7 linked regions of the Oryzias latipes genome follow. The protein of the gene in region 1 interacts with the protein of each later gene in a pairwise test. Links are inferred from orthologs where the notes say so. Each region holds a gene or a part of one and is shown on either strand. Other genes may lie near its edges.

The links.
Region 2: the proteins of ppp1cc (region 1) and cops5 interact in a two-hybrid assay, tested with the Homo sapiens proteins (2 studies listed by BioGRID and IntAct). The link is inferred for Oryzias latipes from reciprocal best matches to the Homo sapiens genes PPP1CC and COPS5.
Region 3: the proteins of ppp1cc (region 1) and ppp1r16a interact in binary tests that used the Homo sapiens proteins (3 or more experiments, as listed by UniProt). The link is inferred for Oryzias latipes from reciprocal best matches to the Homo sapiens genes PPP1CC and PPP1R16A.
Region 4: the proteins of ppp1cc (region 1) and csrnp2 interact in binary tests that used the Homo sapiens proteins (3 or more experiments, as listed by UniProt). The link is inferred for Oryzias latipes from reciprocal best matches to the Homo sapiens genes PPP1CC and CSRNP2.
Region 5: the proteins of ppp1cc (region 1) and cysteine/serine-rich nuclear protein 1 interact in binary tests that used the Homo sapiens proteins (3 or more experiments, as listed by UniProt). The link is inferred for Oryzias latipes from reciprocal best matches to the Homo sapiens genes PPP1CC and CSRNP1.
Region 6: the proteins of ppp1cc (region 1) and ranbp9 interact in binary tests that used the Homo sapiens proteins (3 or more experiments, as listed by UniProt). The link is inferred for Oryzias latipes from reciprocal best matches to the Homo sapiens genes PPP1CC and RANBP9.
Region 7: the proteins of ppp1cc (region 1) and ylpm1 interact in a two-hybrid assay, tested with the Homo sapiens proteins (2 studies listed by BioGRID and IntAct). The link is inferred for Oryzias latipes from reciprocal best matches to the Homo sapiens genes PPP1CC and YLPM1.

Annotation. Positions count from the first base shown.
Region 1 is NC_019867.2:25,502,798-25,505,666, forward strand, and holds the end of ppp1cc (serine/threonine-protein phosphatase PP1-gamma catalytic subunit), read right to left. Parts: intron 2,622-2,869; coding exon 2,487-2,621; intron 1,138-2,486; coding exon 1,048-1,137; 3' UTR 501-1,047; downstream 1-500. UniProt on the Homo sapiens protein: Protein phosphatase that associates with over 200 regulatory proteins to form highly specific holoenzymes which dephosphorylate hundreds of biological targets.
Region 2 is NC_019878.2:17,008,820-17,013,039, reverse strand, and holds the start of cops5 (COP9 signalosome complex subunit 5), read right to left. Parts: upstream 2,801-4,220; 5' UTR 2,652-2,800; coding exon 2,515-2,651; intron 2,435-2,514; coding exon 2,200-2,434; intron 1,640-2,199; coding exon 1,511-1,639; intron 1,135-1,510; coding exon 1,069-1,134; intron 839-1,068; coding exon 753-838; intron 607-752; coding exon 495-606; intron 1-494. Other genes in the region: cspp1 (centrosome and spindle pole-associated protein 1), read left to right, coding at 3,872-3,931, 4,054-4,134, 4,220-4,220. UniProt on the Homo sapiens protein: Probable protease subunit of the COP9 signalosome complex (CSN), a complex involved in various cellular and developmental processes.
Region 3 is NC_019878.2:14,890,721-14,893,448, forward strand, and holds the end of ppp1r16a (protein phosphatase 1 regulatory subunit 16A), read right to left. Parts: intron 2,063-2,728; coding exon 1,937-2,062; intron 1,858-1,936; coding exon 1,782-1,857; intron 1,665-1,781; coding exon 1,535-1,664; intron 1,338-1,534; coding exon 1,175-1,337; intron 1,106-1,174; coding exon 560-1,105; 3' UTR 501-559; downstream 1-500. UniProt on the Homo sapiens protein: Inhibits protein phosphatase 1 activity toward phosphorylase, myosin light chain and myosin substrates.
Region 4 is NC_019865.2:22,401,820-22,405,119, reverse strand, and holds the end of csrnp2 (cysteine/serine-rich nuclear protein 2), read right to left. Parts: intron 3,299-3,300; coding exon 2,411-3,298; 3' UTR 501-2,410; downstream 1-500. UniProt on the Homo sapiens protein: Binds to the consensus sequence 5'-AGAGTG-3' and has transcriptional activator activity. May play a role in apoptosis.
Region 5 is NC_019878.2:18,354,150-18,357,649, reverse strand, and holds part of cysteine/serine-rich nuclear protein 1, read right to left. Parts: intron 760-3,500; 5' UTR 742-759; coding exon 567-741; intron 1-566. UniProt on the Homo sapiens protein: Binds to the consensus sequence 5'-AGAGTG-3' and has transcriptional activator activity. May have a tumor-suppressor function. May play a role in apoptosis.
Region 6 is NC_019875.2:8,733,949-8,737,448, forward strand, and holds part of ranbp9 (ran-binding protein 9), read right to left. Parts: intron 3,455-3,500; coding exon 3,342-3,454; intron 3,150-3,341; coding exon 3,041-3,149; intron 2,254-3,040; coding exon 2,099-2,253; coding exon of another isoform or gene 2,027-2,098; coding exon 1,873-2,026; intron 1,803-1,872; coding exon 1,681-1,802; intron 1,503-1,680; coding exon 1,351-1,502; intron 935-1,350; coding exon 823-934; intron 1-822. UniProt on the Homo sapiens protein: May act as scaffolding protein, and as adapter protein to couple membrane receptors to intracellular signaling pathways. Acts as a mediator of cell spreading and actin cytoskeleton rearrangement.
Region 7 is NC_019882.2:1,500,398-1,504,642, reverse strand, and holds the start of ylpm1 (YLP motif-containing protein 1), read right to left. Parts: upstream 2,801-4,245; 5' UTR 2,523-2,800; coding exon 1,989-2,522; intron 313-1,988; coding exon 85-312; intron 1-84. UniProt on the Homo sapiens protein: Plays a role in the reduction of telomerase activity during differentiation of embryonic stem cells by binding to the core promoter of TERT and controlling its down-regulation.

The sequences.
Region 1 (2,869 bases):
AGCTATTTAGGTGACCCTTATCTTATTTTTTGAACCATAAGGTGCACTTAAATCCTTTCATTTGTTCCAAAAATAACAAAAAAAAATCCATCTCATAATCTGGTGGTCTTTAACTCTGGTTGTGCCAACTGACCTTCAATTGATTTTCCGTTACATGGTGCAAATAAATCTGTTAAAGTGTGATACGTACCGTCCTTCAAATGTTTGTGAATGAGTTTTAAAAAAAGTTTGAGTTAACTTACTTTTTAAAAAACTTTCTTACTTCCCTTATAGTTACTTTTAAATATGACAATCATTTTTCTTTAACCAGAGAGCCACAACAGAGCGATAAAGAGCTGCAGGTGGCTGAGCGCTGGTCTTCGTGGGTGTTTTTTAGTACCTGCTTTATAATTCATGAGCACTTATTTAGACACAGTGAAGTTTTCAACTTTTTATTTTCATCAAGAGCCATAAAAGTTTTAGAAACAAATAACATTAAGATATCAACCCCCCCCCCCAAATACTCTCAAAGTTTATTAGAAAGACTTTGATATTACAGAATGTTTCCTTATTCGTTTAACTTAGCGCGACTTATTTAGAAATATGATGCAATTCTGACAATTCTCTTTGACACTGACAGTCAATGGAGTTTACAAAGGTAAATGTGTCTGTGACTTTCCTCATAGATTTATAGCCATTGTTTATTATTACTGACAGTGAGGAAAAGAGATGACAAATAAACGAGACATGGAAAAGTGGAAAAATTGTGCACAGCTTCAGACAAAGGCATTCCTGTGCACAAGTAGCCGTATTGTTACATTTTCCTGATTGAACAGTCATTATGTGGCAAAGACTAGCTGCAAATGGAGTGCAAAACACCTGAGGTTTTCCATGGTGACTTATCAACTTACCCCTTGGGACAAAACAATAAAACATTTTGTTTCATCGAGTGGGAGCGGGTATCTTCAGTATTGGCAGCGTGAAGAAGACCCGATCTTTCAAATGCGGAAAACAAAAGCAGACCAGAGGAGTGGGACTCTGGCCCCCACCAGCTCCCTGGCGCCTGCCTCATTTCTTGGCTTGCTTGGTCACCATGTTGCGAGGGGGAGTCACAGGACGACTGCCGTTGGGCTTTTTTTTCTCAGCTGGTTTCAAGATCTGCAAATCCAGTGTAAAGAGTTACGCCTTTGTTTTATCACATCCCAAAAAAAACCACACACCCAATAACAGTCCTTTGAGGCCTAGACATTTCTTATTTTCATATTAAAGCTTTTAATAAAGAATAAATAAACAAATGTATACTCAAACTAAAATTCCCTAGTAATACAGAATAAGAGTTACATTTCCTCTTTACTGCTACACAATAAACGATTTCTGCTTGTAAGAAACGTTAAAAAAGAAACAAACAGGTTAGTAAGTGGAATATGTTAATACGGCTTCATCTCAACAACATGGATAAAAGTTATGCTTTAAGAAAAAGGGTGTATTTTCCATGTCTTTGTTTTGGAAAGTTAACCCCGCAGAGAAGACTTCCAGCTGTTGCTGCTGAGAGGCAGCAGCTGCAGCGCTTTATCCACTTTTATAGCTGTCTGACTGCTTTTTTACTCGATCAACACAGACATTTGGAGAAATCAAAAATCAAATACACCTATAGATTCTCCCTGAAGATAACCCAGGAACACTAACACCAAGAACGGCAGCATAAACCACTTGATTGACATTTCGAAATGCAATGTCAATCTTTCTTTAAGGCAACTTTCTATTAAAAATTGACTGTTTTTTTTGGGGGGGGGGGGGGGGGGGGGGTAAACCTGCAACCTCCTTCCCATCATCCTTAACCAGGAGCTCTGTGTTCATATGCTCTCCCACTATCTTACAGCCCCTAAAAACCCAATATTACATTAGTGGTGGAACAAAAATGGCGAGCAATACTAAAGGGTTCCAGTCATACAGTTTTGATCCAGATTCCAGCTGAGACAAGGAAAACTAAGACGTAAATGGATCTATTTGTTTGCATCAGAATAGAGTAGAGCAGGGAGCTTGAGGCCCGCCCAACAAGGTTTCTACGTCACACATACACCTTTTTATAAATAGTGTTTTTATCATTTTAAAGAAAGACATAGAAATGCAATTTTAAGCTTAATATGTTTCCCTTGTCATCAGAAAAATGACAGAAGACCATGCTAAAAACACCAAAAACACACTTTACCGAAGTGGGTCTTTGAATAGGGAAGAAAAGGAATGTGTATTTTTGTTTAGTTTCCATCACTCACTTAGTAAACATTTATTAAAAAAGCAAATCAATTGGTGTTGGAATTAAAAATGTATAAATCAAATCAATATTTAAGTAACTGTATCAAATCCTTAATCAAACTCAAAACAAGCAGTTATGTTTTAATGTCTTGAAATGTAATTTTCTTTAAAGGAATGCTTAATCTAGGGTTAGCCTGAGATCATATTGGTGCAAACAGCTTATGGTAGTATCTTCATGAATAAAGGTAGCCCACCTGAAAAGAGCACATAAGAGTCTCGTCGACACTCATCATGGCACCAGCATTGTCAAACTCCCCGCAGTAATTTGGAGCTGAAAACAGGGTCACAAGCTGCCTCTTTGCAAAAAACTCATAACCATCTTCAACCACCTGAAAGAGGCAGAACGACAATAAAGGGGGTTAAAAGAAAATTCCAAAAAGTGTGACATCATCACGCTTAGTTTTACTGTCACCATGATTACACTCTCTCTCAACTAAAGTGCAGTTTTTTTTAAAACAGTTGCATTTAAAAGGAAATTGATTTTAAATGTCAAAGAATGTCATTTCTATTCAAAAGCTCAGGTTACCAGAAGAAATGCTGTTTTTTCAGGGGTCAAAAATAAATGTCTTTTGATACA
Region 2 (4,220 bases), on another chromosome or scaffold:
ATAGTAGAGCAGGTAATTAAAACACAATGCCATGGGGGGGGCCTGACTAGGGTGACAGTGTAGCAACTGACAAAGCCCGTCACCTACTGAGCAGCTCCTTCTTGACATCTAGTCAATACATCTTCATCCAGAATGCCAGCGAGTGAACTGTTTAGATAAGCCTGGTGTCTATTTAACCCAGCTCAGGACCACAATGCAAATTCATGTGACGGCCTTTCAGTCTTTAGAAAAAACTGTGCTCGAGGGGCGGGGGGCTTCTGGATGAGTGGAGTCAAGTCCAACTTTAATACCCATCATCTTCTTCTGCTCCAAAGTTCACAAAGACCTTATTACTAAAAACAATAAACAAGCAGGGCCAGCTAAAAAGCAGCAATAAATCAACACATCACAACATGTTGACTCCATGTCTGAATGAGTTATAGAGTAATAATTAACCATAAATCAAAATGTCAAACAATTAGTGAACATTTTGAGTTTTGAGGTGGCTTACATACCGTAAGAAGGCTGGAGGAACTTAAGGTATTGACCCAATATTTGTTCCAAAGGAGTTCCAGGAGCTTTCGATCCAGAGAAGACTTGAAGTAAGTCACCTCCAAGGCGTAATATCTGAATAGAGACAATCATAAAGAGTTGAAAAAAAAGATAATTCAGGAGCATGTTAAATATATGCATCTTTGATACATAAAGTTTTGATAAATAAAGTTTGATTGATTGATTTATTAAGAGTGGTTTAGTGCTTTAAATTTACTCACTGTTTACAATGAACACCAAAGTCTTCTATCTTGTTCAGCGGGATTGTTTGATATTCTGATGGTCCTTCATCTGGAGGTTTGTAACCCTGAAAATCCACAAGGAAAATGTTAAAAAATAATACAAAATAAAAAAAAAGAATTAGCACATTTGTTTAATCATTAACAAGTAAACAAATTAAGACATTCTGATGTATATTTATGACAAATATTTATTCAGATCCCTCCTAAAAAAACTAACATCAACGATTCGAACTTAAAATTTAATTTATGACTTCAATAAGTCATAACACCATGTTTCTCTTGGTCTTTGCTGTACCTTTGGGTATGTTCTGAAGGCACCTAGATTGACTTTCCCTGCAGAAATAGTCCGAGTGGGGTCGATCTGTAGGACACAAGATACAGTAAAACAGGAAAACAAAGTCAAAGGTCGGAATCCTCCAGAGACCACTGGAATCAGTTCACTAGGAGCCTTTTTCCCGCAGCTGTCAGTGTGAAAAAAACACACACTTAATTATACGACGCCCCTGGCGTCGAAGCCCTGCTGAACTAAAGGACGTGTAAATAGCATATGGGGTTGCAAAAGGAAAATAGTCAGTAGTGCAATGCCAAAACATGCAGTGAATGCATTAATAGATTTTCATTTACGTTCTTGTAATGTTTTTTTTTTAAAGACGAAACAGGAACTTTCCTCCTCATTTTTTAAAAATTCCACTAGCAGGAAATTACATTAAAATAACGTTATAAAAGTTTATACGTACAACAACAGCAACAAAAGGCTCCTGAAACTGCTGGTTGAGCATCTGAGTGCTCACGTCGATCCCTGACAGCCAGCATCCGTAACCCGGGTGACTGTGGTACCAGCCAATGGCATTCTCCAAACGGCCAACCTGGGGGGTTAAAAAGATAAATATAACAAAATTATTCATAATTATTTATAATACAATATTATAAAGTGTTTATTGTTTAATACAATGAAAAGGTTTTACTAAATCTGACGTGGCTTGCTTAGTTTCTAAAAAATACGGAAACTATTTATGAAAGGAAATAGACAGACTTCAATAGGTCAGTCGGGGATAGAAGTTATTTTTAAGCTTTTAAAAACAAAAAAATGAATATTATAAATGCTCTGCTATCCCCAAAGATAACTGGAAACAGCGGGACAGCAACTCAAGAAAATCCAGGCTGGACTTATTCCGGCTACCTGTAGCCCACCAAAAAAAAAAAAAGAAGAACAGTCATAACGACAATAGAAACTAAATAAAAGATTAGAACACTTCAATAGACATATTGACATACTGAACACAGAACCTATGACTAATAAATCTTAATAAGAGACAGTTTTTCAACAATTCCACCAGGAACTGTGTAATCTGTCAAGAAGAAGTAATTGCTGCTGTGTCATTTCAGTGTTGGTGTATGTTTTTACAATAAAATAACATGATCCCACCTGTTTGGCGTTTTCAATGTAGGCAGCCATGTATTCGTATGCTGCAGCCTGCGCGTTCACCCTGGTTTCTGTTCCCTCCACAGGCAAAGCGAAGCTGTCCATGATGATCATGGTCTCCCCGTCCACCTTCCCCAGCATGAGACCCATCACCTCCAGGTTCCCCCCTGACCTGGCATGCATCACCATCTTCAGCAGGGCCAACGCGGAGATTTTGCAGTACTTGAAGTAGTGGTGACTAATGATTTGAGAAAAAGAAAACACAATTAGTTTACGCGACACAACAAATAGGAATGAAGTCAATCAGGTTGAAAGTACTCTTTTGTCCACGGCTTCGCCGCGAGGATTTCTTGTTGTTGTTTTTTGTCGTATTTGTAAATTTCATCGATGCTCTGGACTTCCTGCATGCTGTTCGACAGCTCCCACGTTTTCTGAGCTGTACTACTTCCAGCCATGATAAAGTGTCAATTCAAAATACGAAGAATAAGCGTTTCGAACGTCAGTGACAACAACACAAACAAAGAAATTGTGTATATCCGTCTAAAGTAACAGGGCCAGACGTTCTCTTGCAACGGCAGCCATGACAGGGAACGATACCAAAACAATGACGTCGAAAGATTGAACCTTTCTTTGTTGATTTGGAAAAATACAAAAGTCGAAGTTTCGTATCTTTATGTATTAAAATGGATCATTAATAATATATTGAAAAAATCAATACAATTTATGTAAGAGTTAAAAGTTCTGCTAAATGTACCCATCAATTCTGGTACTGTCACCCCTCTGATAATGGTTTAGTCCAAAAGAGACGTCAGCAGACACTTGAGGATGCACTGGCATCTAGCGGTGAGACTTGTAAAAAGCAGACAGGTTTGAGAATATTTTTTATCCTGTTTTTAGAACTTTGTTTTTTATTTAATGCATTGTATATCTAATAAAGACCCTAATGGGAGATAACAGTTATTAATGCTGCAAAAAAAAAAACTTCTCGAAAAAACACATTAGCGAACGTCATTGGTCAAGAGTAAAGGTAAAACATCAATGTTACTTCGTGTTTGTCATCTTATAAAGCTTAGAAAGCACGTTTAGGATTTTCAAAGATATTTTTATTGAAATGCGATTAAGTTTGTATGATTACCACATAAACTTTAGATATACGGAGTTTTTTGTGGTTTCGTGTTTGCTAACTTCTTTAGCCTGTGCCAACCTTTGTGTCACGGTTGCCCATAGCAACGCTTGCTGCGTTGCCATTTTAGTGCGGCGAAAACATTCAGAATAGTCATAAAAATGTCTAATTAATTAAGTATGTATCCTTTAGAGTTAGAGTTTCATCTAAGGTTTCATTTTTATAGCTTTGTTCACTGCCAGGTTGTGCTGTTTGAGTTTATAATGGAAAACACCTAACTTTCAATTTGCATGCACCTGTATGCTGAGAAAGTTCTTGAATCTGACCTTGGACAACTAACTTTCTGTATGAATGTTTTTCATCATTTGCAGGTGATGTGCATTTTGTAAAACTCTAGCATCCACAAAATATGGAACCATATAGCTTATCATAAACAAGATGAAGTATTTGTGGTAGTTTTAATTTTCAATCAGTCCAATTATACTGGCTATTTATTTGCTATGTTTTTCTCTCTCTCTAGGTTTTAACTGAGGCTTAGTATCAGAGCGTGAAATGGAGGAACAGAAACCTCTTCTGGATCTGCGGCTGGACTTCAAATATCATGCAGCCAAGGTCAGATATCATACGATTATTATAGGATCATTTAAAGAGAATTTTTGTTGACTGTGTTACCTCTGATTCTCCATTCTGCCAACTTATTTTTCTATTTTTTATTCTTACATGTACCTTTTAAGGAACACGATTTAAAAACCTGTGAACCTCATCCACAACACCAAGGGCTTTCCTTACCTATTGATGATAGAGCATCCATAAAGGTGTGTCCTTGTGTGCACTATTTTTTTTTTTATATTGCCTTGTTCATACCTTTTATTTATTTATTTTGGGGTTTTTTTGCAACAGA
Region 3 (2,728 bases), on another chromosome or scaffold:
TATTCAGGATTTCATATTGAAGATGAAAATGTACAAATTCTACCATAAAAATATTTAAATGTATTCTACTTAATTTACTAGGAAAGAAAAAAAATAGAGTTTTGTTGATGGAAAACTGTTGAACGGAGCAGCAGTCATTCTTTTGTGTACATTCAGGTTTACTTGTTTATAAAAGAAATCTTTAAATCATCTTCCAAGCATACAAAATATTTTATGACACAGATTTAAGCTTGTCATCTTCAAACTAATCATTTAACAAAAAAGGAACATATTCCTATCAAAATAAATCATCTTATGGTCCAGTTATACGACATTTGTCTAGTGTTGCTGAAAAAGTTGTGTAGTTTAAGTCCTGCATGTGAGAAAGAATGCAAAGAGCTTGAAATAAATAACAAATATCCAAACTAGTTACTCCATTGAAAAGGTTCAGACAATTACTGGCCAAAGTCAGTTGGTTCCATCGTCAGTGATTTTTTTATTGTTTTAAAGTGGCTCCTTAAAAGGCTGTTATCACTTTAAAGCAGAGCTGGTCTTGGTTCTGCTGCCTGCAGGCTCATGCTTACATGAGGCCACAGCAAGGCTCTTTGCTGCTGGTCTGGTCCTCCTCAGGGGCTCGAAGCTTCAGCAGTGGAGGATCCCCGCTGGATGGGGTAAAGTACACCTGGCTGGGAGAGACCGTGTCATTCGGAGTGGGGGATATCTGGATCTCTGATTGAGCTGGGGTGGCTGGCATCTCTCCTGCTGCTGCAACTGAAGGCTCTTCCTCCACTGGAGGAGGGAGAAGAGGAGGAGGAGGAGCTGGATATTTGTTGAGTTTAGCAGCTGCTCTTTGCCGTTTCAGGTCAGCCAGGGTGTGGTGGGATTTCTCTCGGCTCATGCTGTCAGCAGAGTCGCCCTCTGCAGACGCTGATGCAGACGCTGATGCAGACGCAGAGCTGAGCTGATAGGAGGCACTGCGATCCATGAGACCACTTCCAGTCCAAAGCTCTCCCGGGACAGAGGAGGACAGAGAAACAGAGGTCTCTCCATTGCCTATACAAGAAGAAATTTTCCTGTCAGCAGACTCCAGCTCCTCTAGGCGCGATGTTGCTGCTCCCCCAGCAATCTGAAAACAAGCGGCAGATTCAAAAGAGCGTTCAGGACTCTGATGCGGCTGAATGAGCAGTGGAGTCACCATAGCAGCGTGCTGGTGCAGCTCGTTGTCCGTTTGTCTGTCTTCATCATCGTCGTGAGGTTCGGGCTGTCGGTCACGCTCCTGCCACACCATGGCCTCCTTTTGGTGTTCCCGTCGGTACAGGCTGGAGCGTTCATTCACGCTGACCCTACGCACCACCTTACTGAGGAGACAGACCAGAAACTCTCAGGAGTAAATCACTGTGGGGTTTGAACTTTTCTGCCTTTGTGCTCAGTGGGTCTCTGGCTTAAACCTCTAAAAATAAACATGCTTTAATTCAGAAATTCCCAAATTGACTGTCTGTAGGTTCTTATATTTTAAATTAGACACATTCTGGGTCTCTTGAGCTGCTTATCTCACCCTCTACTGCCAGTACTAGACGCTCGTTTTTGCAGAGTGCCTTTCTGTCTGTCCTGACTCTTCATGATGGCGTCATGTTTGTGCTTTAGATCCATCAGTTTGGCTCTGACCTCCTCATCCATACAAACATCTGTGAATAGAACAGAATTGTAAATGTCCCATTCATTTATAAACATAACTTTTTTTTTTAGATTAAATAAACAAAATCTTTGCATTTGATTATGAAAAGAGTCTGAATTCATCTGACCTAACGGAGTCTCCTCCAGAACAGACTTTGCATTTAGACTGGCTCCATGGGCCACCAGCAGTTCCACTATTTGGATCTATAAACAATAACACAAAACAGTATGGAGACAGCAAAAAGAAAAAAATATTGGATTCCAGTGTGGATGCAGTAAGAACCTGTCCCCAGCAGGAGGCAGCGTGCAGCGGCGTCCATCCATCAGAGTCCTTCACCTCCAGCTCAGCTCTGTTGGTTAGCAGCAGCTCAGCTACAGACATGTAGCCGTTGGCAGACGCAATGTGGAGCTAAGAGGAGAAAAACATTAAAACTCCACATAAATAAAACTAACAAGTATAAATTTCTTTGAGAAGAATAGCAATATTAATCATGCATATTCCACTTTATGAGATGGAAAGTTTACAACACTGAAAGTATAAATAATTGTACGTTTTATTATTAGCCAGACCACATTCTCCTCTTTCTGGTGTTAGAAAACCAGGACCAGAAAAAAGGAGCATTTTACTCTAATTTTAAAATCTTTGCAAAGGCGCCCAGTCAGCTTTGGCATCAATTTTTAGATTCTTTCATTTGTTTGTAAATGTCTCAATGGAATTGGACCTTCATGTTTTTTATCAGCATGGTTTTGGTTAAGGGCTTCCCCAGAGCCGTAGGATCCTCCCGTGCAGGTCTGCCGGTGATCTCAAAGGTCAGGACAAAAACCCGCGGTGAGGATCCTGCCTGAGGATGTGAGAGCTCCACCACTGGGAAGGTTTTAAACATCAACTCCTCTATTTACCTTTGCTTTCAAGTAGATTTATGTTTCCTTGTGTTTAATGGACTGTTTTTCCCTGTATGTGTGTTGGGGGGATTTTATTAAAATGACTATTTTCCCTATTATTTTAACTTCATGTAAAGCACTTTGAGGTGTTCTGTGACAGGAGAAGTGCTCTATAAGTCAAGGTGAATCTGAA
Region 4 (3,300 bases), on another chromosome or scaffold:
AACCAGGGTCTTCTCGCTGTCAGGCATGAGTGCTAACCACTGTTCCACCATGCAGCCCACATTTATTTCGTCTCTGTGTTATATCAGCTTGGTTAGCATCAAAAATATAGTTGCAACCAGAAAATTGTGCATGAGAAAAAGGTTCCGGAATTTAATTGCATACAAAAATCTGTGCTCCATCACCATCTCTTCCTGCTGTGTAAGGTCACAGGTGTTGCTGGAGCCTATCCCAACTGATTTAGGGCAAAGTAGGGGTACACCCTGGACAATGTGGGAGTCCTTTGAAGGGCCACACATTGGTTTAAAAGAATCAATTAACCTATGAAGCATGAAAACCCACTCTTGCATGAGGAGAACATACAAACTCCACACAGAAAGGACCCAGCTGGGATTCAAACTTGGACCTTTATGCTTTTAGGCAACAGTGTTAACCACTCCTCCACAGTGTACATGTAAGCTATCCAAAACATTAAGAAATCATAAACAACACAAAATCAACCTTTTTCTTTTTTCAAAGTGAACTTTATTCTCTTTTGTTTTTTTGTTTTAGTTTTGTATAAAAACCCTTTTGGCCACTTTAGGCAACAGTTATTATGAGAGTAGATCTCAGCTTTTAAATGAAGTTTTCTGAAACTGAAGTCTCTCGCACACCCGCTTTCACACGTAGAAACACACACAGTCACAGAGTACTGCTGCAAATGAGGCGCAGTGGTCCCAAACCTAAATCTATTAGTAGAAAGCCAAAGACAGAAGCATCACAACAGCGTGTCACCATCGTCACTTCAAAGATGGTACTATATCAAGTCAAGTCACGCAAACAAAAAAGGGCTATAATAAATCTGCAGCTTCACCACAACGACCAGAGGCTGCAATTTTTTAAACATTTTTTTTAAAACGTTTTTTTTAAAGTTTGATGGAGGATAGGAGCATCACATAGTTAGGTTTGAAACCAGGATTATATTAAGACAATAAAAAAGGCAAACAAATACATCAGACAGCTTATACACAGAAGTGCATCCTGTGTCGGGCGAGCCGTTGCCGTGGGCGACAGCAGGAACCTCAGGCAACAAAACATAGGACTGACTTGGTGTAAGAAGTGTCGGCTTGCTTATGCAGATCAGTATTACTCAGACGTAGCTCAAAAAGACGCTTAAACAAAAAAAAAGTTACACGCTAGCATTTACAGTCAGTCACGAAAAAAGAGCTCAGTCTCTAATCACATATTGCGTTGAACCCCCCTCCCTCCAGAAGGGGGCTCTGGGGTCATTCTAGTTTCATTATGTCACGGTGGCAGGGAGAAGATCTCCGACATCAGCACCTTCCAGGTTTTAAAGCCCCAAATCTAAAACAGCGAATACACACACACGCAGGCACACACTCCTTCCTTTCCCCTCTACTGTTCACACACACACACACATAAGAGCACAGACACATATATGCCACACACAACAGTTGCACAAAACCAAAAGTGGCGTCACATTTGTGTTTCCTAGAGTAAAGAGATGCAGTTTGGATTCTTCTTCCCGTTATTGTCTTCATCTTGACATTTGGCTTGATTCAGAATCAGCTCTCGGAGACGCAAACATCCCAGTTAACGTGGTTTTTCAGCACATGGCGTTACAACAAACCAAAAAAAAAAAAAAAAAAACATCTCCTTCAACAGCAACTAATCCACAATAGACATAATAACCAAAGATTTCATCTGGATTTCAACTATAAGTAACATTTTTTCGTCTTTTTTTTTTTCTTTATTTCTTGACAAATAGACTGCACTCGTACAAGCAGTCCACGTGAGCCGGAGCGCCGGCTAAGGCCGGTGCTGATCCGGCGCCACAACGTTGTCTGTCCTCAATGTGCATACAGGTCAGAAAAGCAGCTCTCTTGCACATTGCAAATGCATATACAGTACACAAAGACAAGTAATTCCAGGATTATTAGGTCTATATTTAGCAGAGGATACTAATCAGAGGCCTTCATTTTGGCTCGGCACGGCGTGCTGTTAACGGACAGTGAGGCGGCAGGAATCTCAGCACGCCAAAAAACTATTTGTGTTTAGTGTCGATATCTTTATTCACCGCCCAGGGAAAGGCTTATGTCCGCACTGTGTTGGAAAAGAACAAACATGCTGCACTCCTTCATACATTTTTTTTCCATTAAGGCCCCATAATAACCTCTCATACACCAATGCTGCCTTTAAAAAACGCATTTTTTTTCCTTTTTTGGGGAGTGATCTGTCTGCATGTGCTTTCAGCATCTCTCCTCTGTTGGATCGTAACAACGCTTCGTTCTGCACATATTTCAGCGACTACACTTGAACATGTGGCGATGAAAGCAGTAATACGTGTGGAATAATGAAACTTTCTCTTCTAAGATGAAGCGGTTGTGCAAAATATCTACGGAGAAGTTGATGCTAAACTTCTGGAGGCAGTGGGTCAGCTTCTCTCTCCGAGCAGGGCTCTTGCAGCTCTTTCTGGACGTTCTGCTCAGGCGTGCGGGCCGCTGCACGCTCCTCTGAGTGGAAAACCACGCTGGTCAAAGATTCCTCTCCTCTGCTGGAGCTGATTCCTTCTCCCTTGAACTCTTCTTCTAGTTTTCTCTCTGCAAACACCGCCTCCTGCTCCTCTTCCTCCGGTTTGGGCAGCGTCTCAAAGGCTCCGGGCTCAATGGGACTGAGCTGATAGTAGAGCAGAGGGGTGGAGTCTTTGAGGAGGTCAGAGGGACTCTCCTCTTGGTTATCAGAGATGCACAGCACAGTGGCCCCTGTGGGGAAGGGCCCCTGCAGGAGGACCTGATCTACACCTGGCACATCTCCCTGCTTGGTTAGCTCCTCCCTTAATGCACTGGGGAGGAGGCACAGGCGCTGCTGCGCGGGAGCACTCAGCTCCCGCTGCACTGCCTGCCCTTCTGCCTCCTCCCTCTCCCTCCTCTCCTGCTCCACAGCACTCTGCAGGTGCAGCACGGCCGTCTCGTTCTCTCGCTCCAGTATATCCTGCGCCGCCATGAAATCGTGGACCTCCTCCACCGCCTGCACTTCGCTTTCCTCCAGCTCTGAGTCTAGCCCAGTGCTGGTGGACAGAGTCGGGGACGTGGGGCAAGTGGAGGAGGGGGAGGAGGTGGGGTCTGACTCGGCATACTGCTCCCCGGCCTCGCTTATGAGCAACCGCCGTTTCTCCAAATCCAGCTTCATGATGGTGTGCAGGTAGTGAGTTCTGACGCGCAGGGGGTTGAATTCGACGCGGCCCGCCATGTTCCCGCAGCCGTCCCTCGAGCATCCGCACGGGAATGACATCCGATCCACCT
Region 5 (3,500 bases), on another chromosome or scaffold:
GGTTTTACCCCTTCACCCGACCTCTTTCAACACCTGTGCTGGGTGCACGCCCGAGCTTCAGACAAGGCGCTGTGTGTTCCCAGATCTGGCATTTCGCCATGTTTCCCTTCCTGGCGTTCTGCCCCATACATACCACCGTGGAGGCTCACAACTGTTTGCCCGTCCTCCCGCATAAAACAATTCTTTTCTGAGCAAACCTCGCTCTCAAGCAGGCCCTGCAGACACAAACACCCTAAATCTGCCCACCTACGTGTTGGCCCAAACGGTGAGGCTGCGAGTGAGGATCCAGGAGAAGGGTGGAGGCAGAAACTAGGTGAGCAAGCCAGACTTAATGTGATTAGCCATTCTGCAGCTCCAGGGCATAAAATCAAAGGATGCATTCATTGAAGAAGTCTGAAATCATGTCTTGTTTCATGGGCTGCCAGCAGCAGAAATTCCTTCACCTCTCCCCCATTTTTATAGGATGTTAGCAGCGCTTCAGCGGATGTTTGAGCCAAGGTAAAGGAATGCACAAAACAAAACAAAATCATTTCAGACATTTAGTGCAACTAGAAGAAGAAACTTACTGTTGAAGTTTGTTACTGGGGAGCTGGGGTTGCTGGGAGTTGAATCTAGGGTGTCAGAGTAGCAGCTATCCCCCTCCGAGTCCCAGGCCGAGCAGGCAGAGGAGAGGGAGGAGGGTGAGGAGTAGCACGGATCATCATCCACCTCCTCAAACTTCCTCTTGAGAAGCCCACTCATGGCGCTAGTGTCAGCAGTCTGTGGAGAATGGCACAGAAACGATGGTTATTCCCATATCATATTTTTTACAATTTTTTTTCTATTCTGCTAAATTACTACATTTGCACCATGGTTGTGCCTAATTGAACACACGAAAGCTTTGTGCCATCCCTTTGGTACAGCGAGTCCTGTGCTCTGCCATGTGAGAGACTGCAAGCATCCAAGTCTCATGCTGCACTCAGCTGAGAGTGGGAGTTAGCCATGGCACAGGAAGCAATCAATCAGTCCCATTTGCCTAAGTCAACAATTACTGGACCCTTCACCCTTTTACAAATCCCATCAGCCCTGGAAATGCATTGATTAAAGTAAGGACCAAACAAAGGTGCTCAAACCATTTCACTGCAGATATTTTAATCACTTTCAGAATGCTACAGCAATCAAATAAGCGGGCGAGGGCCTGGGGATATTCGCCATTCATCTTGCTTATGTGTCCACATTAAATACATATATTGGAATATGCAGACAGCAAATGCAAGGCTTGCATTTCTTCATGGCTCTCATGAGGGGTGCTACTGCAGAGAGCAAAACAATCAATCCTTTGAGACAGATGGGCAAAAAGGAAAAGAAAAAAACTGCAATGGGTTCACGCTTTTGAGAACGCTACGTCGCTTCTACGCCCCTTTTAAAAAGCTGCTTCTGTGCACCAGCTTTTAGTTTTCAGTTGTTTAGCATCTCAAAGTTCAAGGCGTTCTAACGGATCGAAGAAGAAAACCCACAATGTGAAAAATTAACATTCTTTAAGGAAGAAAAAAAACAGCAGCGCTGAAGTGTTTTAGCATTATGGGATATCCTACAGCTTGTGGCAAATTCTGGGAAGTACAAAGCAGTGATGGCTGATAGCTGGGGCAGGTACTCCTAGTCACGGTTTAAGGGGTCAACTTCGGGGATCTCATGCAAGTTTGGACTGAGGGATGCAGGAAGGAAGGAAAGAGCAAAGACACGACTGGGCTCTGGTCCAGACACTCCCATCAATGATGTGGGGAGGAAAAGGAGGCTTTTACTTTGGCCGTAAACAGATCATTTCTCCAACAAACTGTTTACTGTCTGTGGAATTGCAGTCAAATCACTTACAGCTGCTGCAGCTTTTACCCCACTTTGCATGCACCTCAGTTTATGATAATATCCAGACACGCTTCGTTGGGTTTTTTCTTTATAAAACACCTGTAATTATTTGGATTTTGTCGTAATTGCATCCAATCTGCAGGCAGAACATGACACTGATGGTAGCATCTCACCGTCACCATACTGCCATGACAACTCATTAATATGCTAAAGACAAGTCACAGTAATAATGCTCCTCATGACTTTACTGGATCTTGAAACCCTTGTGTGACCTGAATACCTCACTTGTCCTGATTTTCTGCCGGAGTCAGCATTCTTGGAGCACAAAGAAACAAAATCAAAGCAGGTAAGCAAAGCGGGGGGTAATTTAAGTATGCATGAGGAGACGGGTGAGCAAAAATGGTGCTAATTTACAAAAGTTCGGAACAGCAGCTTGCATAGGCAGTGTCACCAGTTCTGCAGCCATATTAAAAGGTTATTGCGATTGCTTCAGTCAGATGTGTTTATCCCTGTGCAGTCATGATGAATGAATCACCTTGCAATAGGTCACGTCTGCAACAAACATAAAAGGATTCAGCCACAGAGAAGCCCCCTCAGTGTTTTACCGTACAGAAGAGGAGCCAATAAATTCCCATCCGTAAATGTACTCGAGTACATTAGAGTAATCTCCAACTGCTCTTTGCAGCTCCTTGATTCACACATCAGGGGATTTGCCTTAGAACAATCCACAAGCACCTGGACGCCGCATCTGTTGCCTATGTGCTCACTTACTTTGCGGACGATGTCTGCGCTTAGCGTCACACTGCACACACTGTACTTTTCTGTCACAGCTCCGGGTGGTGGAAGCACACAAGGGTTCACCTTACATTTTTTTTTTGCCATCATTCCTTCCCCCAATTCACAAGGAAAAGAGGAAAACAAAGCTGTGAGGCATCCTCAAGGGAGCACATAGAGCCAGCTAAGCAAAGTCTTTTTAATTAAAAGCTGCAGTGAGGCAGAAGGGGGAGGAGAAGGAGAATGGGGGGGGGGGCACAGTGGTGTCAGAACTGGGTCATTGTCTCCTGGCTGCAGTCTACCTGACACATTGATTTGTTAATCCTGTTCAACGGGCAGAAACAATGGCGAGAGGTTAATCCTGGCAAGGCGAAGGTTTGTAGTCAATCTGGAGCTTCTCTAGCGTACATGGACGAAGTGAGCGGGGCAAAAAGACTGTCATGCAACGACTCCCCCTTCACAAAGATGAGGGTGGGAGAAAAGAAAAACCAAGATGAAAGGAGAAATTCAGAGGTGGCTGGCTCTCTGAGAGGGCAGTGCCCCGTGAAAGTCGCCTTCAATCCAGGAGGGGATGTGATCGGACAGCTGAGCCAGAGGAGGAGCGCAGGATGTTTTCAGCGCACGCTAAATTATGCATCACTGTCATTCCATCAACCGCACACATGGCAGACAGATAAAGGACGCCGCCGCTGAGGTGCTCCCCAGCCAGTTGCCACAGAGTCGCAAAGATAAATCTCTGGCGAGGAGATTTGTCACCAGAAGTACGACACAGCTCAAGTCAAATGCATAACTGTGTCAGTCGAATACGATTATCCAGATACAGGCTGCTCGTACGACCTCAGAATCCTCACTCTCTTATCTCCGGGCCTTTACAGTTTGTATTA
Region 6 (3,500 bases), on another chromosome or scaffold:
AGTGGGCTCAGGCTGCAGGTGGAACGCGGAGAGCTGCCTGGATTGCGCAGCACCAGGATCATCACGGGCCTTTAGATTACTCAGCTCATTCTAATGTCATTCTTTATGAACTATTGTTGACATTTTGATGACATGTCTTTGTTTTCCATCAATGTATTCTTTGTCTGCCTGTCGTTTAGTTGGTGTCAGTATTTGACCGAAAGACAGCAGGTAATGCAAGAAAACAGCTGATCATAAATAAACATGGATGGTGGGGGTTGGGGGCGCGTGAAAATTTGTCTTTTTCCTAAGGGGGGGGGGGTGCAAAAAATAATTGAGAAGCAGTGCTGTACGGCAAAAGTCGCGTCCACAACTGTGAGCTAAATTTCTGATAAAATGCTGCCGCTCTGCAGAAACTATGTTCTAGGAAACTAAACAGGTTTTTTGATTTGAGCTAAAAACGGCATAATCATTATTTAAAAACAACACAGGAAACGCTTTGAAAATACATTAAAGATGAGTGGAGTGAGACTTTAAAATCATCGGGGGAAAAAGGGAAAAATTTCTATTGAAAGTCCTTTCAATAGAAATTGAAAGTCCTTCCACAGCAGGATCTCTGTTACAAATCTGTGATTTCAGCTCCGAATCAAAATGAAAGTGTTTCATTCAGTGAGATGATGAATGAAGTGCAGCCATCAGCTGACCGTCAGTCAGTCCATTCCCCTCCTGATGAGTCACTGCAGATCTGACTCTCACACCCAGGCTGCAGAGTCACTGCAGAACAAAGCCCGACCAGCATCGTGTTGGACTTCCTTCCGCCTGCCAAAGCCGCAGCTGACCCACCTAATATTGCACTGTTGAGAGTGGAGCAGACCGGCTCCCTCTGAATGGCGTCCAGCTGGTAGCCGACCGGGCTGCTCCAGGGGTCCGAGTAGGCCAGCAGGCTGAACGCGTCCTTCAGCGGGAGACAAGGAACCATCAGACATGACCGTTTCTGTCCTCTGCAGCTGCAGGACGTTTCTCTTTTGTCCCGTGACATTTTCATCTTTTTTGTCAGGAAAACAGTGTCAAAGCTTCTGAGCCACATGCAGACTGATGTCATGGAATATGAGCCGTGTGGGTAATCTCTAGAGATTAGAGCTGATCTCATTCAGTGCAGCAAGATTTCTAAGGTGGATTTTTATGAATCCACAGCGGAGGAAAAAACAAACATGGAGTTTTGGAATTTGATAAGTAAAAATATTGTTTTCATTTACACTAAACTTTATTTTAAAGTTTGCACATGAACGACAAAAGTCTCAGAACCAAAACTTTAGGTCAATATTAGGTTCTGAAAATGAGACGTTTGTCAGGGCCGAACTCTGACTTCACCTTCAGCATCTTCTTGTTGGCAGAGTTCTTGCCACACTCGCGGCGGAGGTGTTCACTCATGCTCTGGAGCTCCCTGCCGAAATGGATCATCCTCTCGATGGCGGCCTGGCTCCCCCCGCACAGCTGCCTCTTGACCTGAGCGGACTCCACCTCTGAGGTGGGGAGGAAACAGTCAGTGATCTGATGACACTCAAACTTAACGGCAGGAGAAAAATCCCTGGACTTTGCTGTGTGAAAGCGCGTCCATCACGGGAAAAGCATTGCAGGCCGTTTCAAAAGCTGCTGAAGGCAAAGCAAGCGCCACGCAGGAGGCTCCGCCTCTGCACCCACCCATGTCTGCGTCGCAGTCCTCCGGCTCCGTGGCGTGCTTGGACGTGCCATTGAGGAAACCATTAGAGGATAGTTCTGTCACTCCGTTGGTGAAGTGGTCGACCTCCATGTCCACGTCGTTGCTGTAAAGTGGGGGGGATGCAGGGTCAGCAGGTGCAGACATCTAACCTCAGTCCTAAACTAAGACTGTACCTTGTGATGGGCAGCTGGCTGCGGCTCCCATTCAGACTAACGTCGGTGACTGGGAGGGTGGAGCCAGAGCCAGGGGGGCAGGGCTTGTGACTGTGAGGGGAGGAGCTGTGGCTCTTACTTGATGCCACGCCATTACAGCAGTTGCTGTCGACCCCTGCAAACAAACCAGCAGCAGGGATCAGAGCGGCTGCAGGGTGGGGGCTCATGGCCAAGCGCGGGACTGTACCGGTGAGGTAGGACTGCGAGCTGCCGGCTTTGTGGCCCGGGCTGCTGAAGGAGCGCGGCGAGCCAGGGTAACTGTCCTGAGACTTGGGGCTGCGGCCCCCCAGACACCTCACCTCGCTGTCCGTCCCGTTCACCATCTCGATGAACTGTCTCACCCTGAAAATGAGGGACACAGAGCTCAACCAAAGAAGTAGGAATTAATAATCGCCAAAAATCATCGTTAAAAGACACTCCCACCTGAGTGAAACTCAGGATTTATCTCCTACGATAAACTTTTACCCCTTAAACTAACCTCCTTCAATACCAAACATCTGCCCCCCACACACATGGAAATATAACAGTATTTTTCATAGATCCTAGACTATTGTTTTTTTCCTGGCCTATACTCCATCCATCCATTTTCTGAACCCACCATATCCCAGAATCACTGAACACACAGAGCATAAGCTGGTGTGTCCGGCGTCCACACATACACGAGCACATGCAAACTCCACACAGAAAGGAACCCTTTGATTCAAACCAGGGCCTTCTCACTATGAGGCAAGAGTGCTAACCACTACTCCAACACGACTCGCATATTGACTTTCATATTGTGATTTTACAATCCTTGTATGCTCCTCACACCAAATAGATTATTAGGCAGTTTTAAGATTCTGTGTTTGTGTGCATGTTAGCGCTCTCGTCCCAGCTGGGAGCATTTGTGTGGAGTTTGCTTGTCCTCCTGCATGTGTGGGTTTTCTTCGGCCACTCTGGCTTCCTCTCACAGTCTAAAAACATGCTTCTCTAAACTCCCTCTAGGCGTGCATGCGAGTGTGTGGCTCTGCATCAGAATGGGTGTGCCCCGCCTTGGCCCAGCAGTAGCAGCTTTCCTACGACCCTGAAGGGGATCCAGCGGGTTCTGAAGATTTATGGATGAGGTGTGTTTGTGTGTGTGTGTTCCTACTTGAGCATAAAGAGGAGGTCCGGGTTCCGTTCCAGGAGGTTGGGGTACAGCTGCTGGGTGGTCTCGATGGCTTCACCCATTCTACCCGACAAAACCAACTTCTGGATCTCTGCAGCCAAAAACACGTGAATGTCAGTGCTGCTAAACGTCATATACATTTAACCCCTATACTTTTAACATTTATATGGGGGGGTTAAGGGCGTGCTGGAGGGAAGAAGACTTTTAGGCAGAGCTGTGCTTTAATTTGACCAGCAAGTCTCTGGATACTGCAGTTTTACTTTGCGGCGTTTCGCAGACTCACTCTGTCTGTTTTTGATGGAGGCCAGCTCCTCCTGCACGGCCTGGTCCGTGGACTTTGCGAAGGCTTCGGCTGTGGCGCAGTAGCTGTGGTGCACCAGGTAGGACGCCACCATCCTGACGAGACAAGAAAGGACTGGAACTCAGTGAGGTCCATGAGGCG
Region 7 (4,245 bases), on another chromosome or scaffold:
CTAAAAAACTTTACTAGAGTTAAAAAAAATTCTCTCTTTCCAGAAGAGCTTCGTGTGTAAAAACAACAGGATGTGGATCCTCACCCGAACCTCCACTGGGAGCGGAGGGGCTGGGGGCTCGTCTGAGGGCGGGGGCGGAGGGGGGGCGCTTTTGGGCGGATCAGAGGGAGGGGGAGGAGGAGTGGTGTGGCTTGAAGCTGGATGTGGAGGAGGAGGAGGCGCATCGCCGTCTTTCTGGCTCTGCCGCGCTTTCTCCTGCCTCAGTTTCTGCAGATTCTTCAGATGCTGTTTGTACCAAAGTTGCTGCTGTTCCTGGAAAAAACAGATCCAGCAGAAAAAAATTCACTCTCTTCCACTTTAGGTGGCAAAATGTCCATTTTAACATCAACGGCTAAATTAGCATTTAAAGTGTTTAAAAACAACAGAAACCCGGCAGTTCCTACTTTCTGTGGATAATAGTTTCGTTCTTTCTGGACTCAGTACACAGCTTTTATAAATGTACATACATTCATATTTAATCAAAACAAATGTGTGTGCAAATGTTCCCACAGATAAAACCACTCATTGTGAAAATATGAACCAAATCAGGTTTTAATAAAAAAAAAAAACATGTCTGACTTGACAAATACACAAATTAATTTACTTTAAAACTGTCTCGCTTTTTTTATTTCCCAAAAAACTGTTTTTTGTTAATTTTCACAGGAAAAACTTTTAAATTTAATAACAGAAACTCCACTTTTCATCCATAAAAGGTTGTATTTTTTATTGGAAATTTCAAAAAGGAACTAGAAGGAGCTGCATTTTCTGTTTCTCTTTCTTTATTCTATTATCTTCCTCCATTTTTTGCCGCTTAACTCCTCTTACAATGTTTCAGCTATTTCAACCATCCAACCATTCAAATGTTCAGCTCTTTCCGCTTTTTCCAGCTGTGACTTTTGGTCCTTCAAATCATTGAACTTTTCCAGATATTCCAGGATTTCCTGGATTATATGTCCTGTCCGCTGTACCTGGTTGGTGGTGAAGTGACACAACACGTGAGCTGAGGTGCACAACTGCCTTTTTCACAAAGATTTCCTTTTTGTTGTTGTGCTGTTTTCACTTTATTTACTTTCTGTTCATTCACTCTATGTCGACTTAGATCAATTCTTTCTTTTTTTGGTGCCAATTCTTACCCTTTAAGTCGTATTTTCATTCAGCAATATAGTATTCAACACTGTATTTTCTTCTTGAAATGCGTCTCCTAGTTTAGCTTTATTTATTTTTTACAATCCTGAACACTTTTGGGTTTGGGTACGTTGCCTAATTTCGGGCCGATGATCTTGTCTGCAGCCAAGTCCATCTCAGTTTTACCTTTCCAGGTGTGTTCATTTGCTTCTTCAGAAGACCCCAATAAACTAAGCTGTCCTTTAAGTACAGCTTAGCTGAAGTGCGCTTTTTTAGTATAATTTTCCTCCCAGAATTGAGAAACTGTTGAAGCAGCAATAAGTCACAATATAAATGATTTAAAGGCTGCAACAAAACAGTTAATTTATCAATGCATTTATGAAATAATACACTTCCTTTTCACACCTGAAATTTGGTTATAGCTGTTCATTTAATCCATAGAGCAAAAACCCCTTCTTTTTTAAAAAAAATATAGTATGTAGGAGCATTTAAGACACCTGTTACAGGTGTGCAGCTCCAATCTAAGATCATATCATGATGGACCTGCTCAGCCTCCAGCTGTGCAGCCAAACTGTTAAATAAGGGCTCCATGGATTGTTTACGTGGATGTTTTAGCTATAGACGGGTGACATCATCACTGGACAAAGCGGGCATGACGTCACCTGTAGAAAAAGCCTGTGAGATACTGTTTAGCTACAGATGCAGGAGGTCAGCTCACCTGTGGGACCTTTGGGCTCTATTCTCAGCGGTTCGTCGATCAGGTTTGAGTGTACCTCCTGAGTTAATTGTTTAAACAAAACAAACAGGTTTAGTAAACTGTTTACCTGCAGAGGCAACGACTTGTCTTCCGCCGCGGAGCAGTCCTGAATCCCGGCCTTTGTGCCTTTGAAAGCGCCGTTGCTGTCCGGTGGGTTGGGCGTCTGGGTCTGTGGAGGCGGGGGACCAGGTTGGGGGTCGGCTGGGGGCTGCTGGGGCCCCTGCGTGGGGGCTGGAGGACCCGTGGACGTCGGAGCCCCCTCCTGATTGTAGAAAGCCTGGGTGCCATCGTCTTCTTTAGATCCCTCCGAGTGCCACGACTGTCCGGGATACCCCCCCGAGTGTCCGGAACCGAACTGGGACGCGTTATTCCCGTGGTGTAAAACGGACTGGAGCTGCTTCTGGTGCAGCATCTGGAGCTGCTGCATCTGCTGGCGGTGCTGCTCCTGCAGGCTGGAGAAGAGCGAGCCGCTGGACGGGGCCTCGAAGCCGCCGAACCCCGCAGGCTGGCCGGCATGGTTGCCGCCCACAGGCTTCCGAGGTCCCGGGCCTGCAAAGCTTGGAGGCGGAGGCACACTAAAGTTTCCCCAAGAGGGATACATCCTTAAAAACGAAGCTGCAGGCGGAGGTCACGGCCGGGCCCGAAGCGGCGAACAAAGCTAGCAGGCGGCGTCCAGCTGCGTTTAGCGGGAAACGCGGCTACATGGCGGACCAACAATCACCGCAAAGACCCAACATAAAGTTCTGAACCCTTCGGGATCTGCTACGCGCGCGTGTGCGCGTGGAAATGCTGTTTTCAATCGTTAAAATGTATTTTTCTTCTCGTGGAATGGCTGACGGTGTTAGCCGAACACGCCACCGGCAGCGGAAATACGTCACAATTTGCGTGACTACTTCCGGTCCACACTCAAAACAAAAATGACCCAAAAATTAAAGAAAAAGTAAGAATAATAATAATCCAGAGACAATTGCTGAATGACTTGGTTTGTAGAATATTTCGTTAATTTTTGTAATTTTTTCTGGTAGTGTTATTCAGAATATTTGAATTTATTAATTTTTCAACTTTTAAATCTCAAAACAGACTCGCGTGAGAGAACTAAAGAAGCAATTGAGTCATTTAAACCCGTTTTATGCAGCTTTTCGAGTCAATTTCACGTTTTAACGTTTTAACATTAAATTTTTTCTAAATACATTTTTAGCTTTCCATGTTTATTATGTCAAGCCAAGTTTATATTCACTCCCCTATTGATTTTTTTTGGCACAGCGTCATAAATAATTTACACACACACACACACACCTCTTTTTTTCTGTTTTATGCTTTACTAGAATAGAATAGAATAGAATCTTTTTTGTATCCCAAAGGACAATCATGAGCTGCTTGCATTCATTGCACATCGGACAAAAACAAACAAACAATAAAATAAATAACAGAATAATATCACAATAATGGCCAGAGATTAACATCTCTAAAAAAACACCCTAAAACCCTAAAATATTCAATAGTTGAAATCTCACATCCATCTAATTTCCCCACTAGATGGGAGCATTTACTGACACATTTGTAATTTATGACAGAACCGTAGATCAGTGGACTTCCTCTTGAGGAAACATTCATGCTGGGACAGATTTGCAACTGCAAAAAAAAAAAAAAAACTCTCAAATAATTCAGATTTTGTACAAACTCCCGGCTGTCAATCCCAATTTCTATAACATCCTTTTTTTTTTTTACACATAAATTATTTACAAAATGCACAGTGTCACTATGTCTGAGCAGAACATTTGCTCATTTTTATAAGTTTAACTCAATACGATTTTAAAGAATTTTACGTTCAAATTTTAAGTGTTATTCTCTTTTCAGATTATTGACAGGTTTCCCTCCACATCATTGCACGCTGCAGAAAAACAAGCTAGTTTTCAGTGATTCAAGTCTGTTCCTGCAACCTCAGTGGTTGACATAAGCCGATAAAAGGGAATTATTGTGTCAGCAAGTTAGATTTGTATGAAGTTCATTTATAGTTTTTGCTTGGTAATTGTTGTTTTTTTTTAATTCAGGGAGTTATTTAAACATTTTTGTGTGTTAAAAAAATTGTCTGTATTTACAGCTTTTCCTGGTTGAGGCAAAAGCACTTTTAGTGTTTAATCGTTTTTAATCTTTTTTGTCCAGATTTGATTATTCAGTCAATCGTCTCAGCAAAGATTGTTGTTAAAATACTTGAAGTTAATGTGAAAAAGAAAGTGCAGTGGTGTCTTACTGTACATTGCATTAATTTGACTTTAAACAATGATTCATACAGAGAATGAAAAGCAAACAGTGACAGTAAAGGA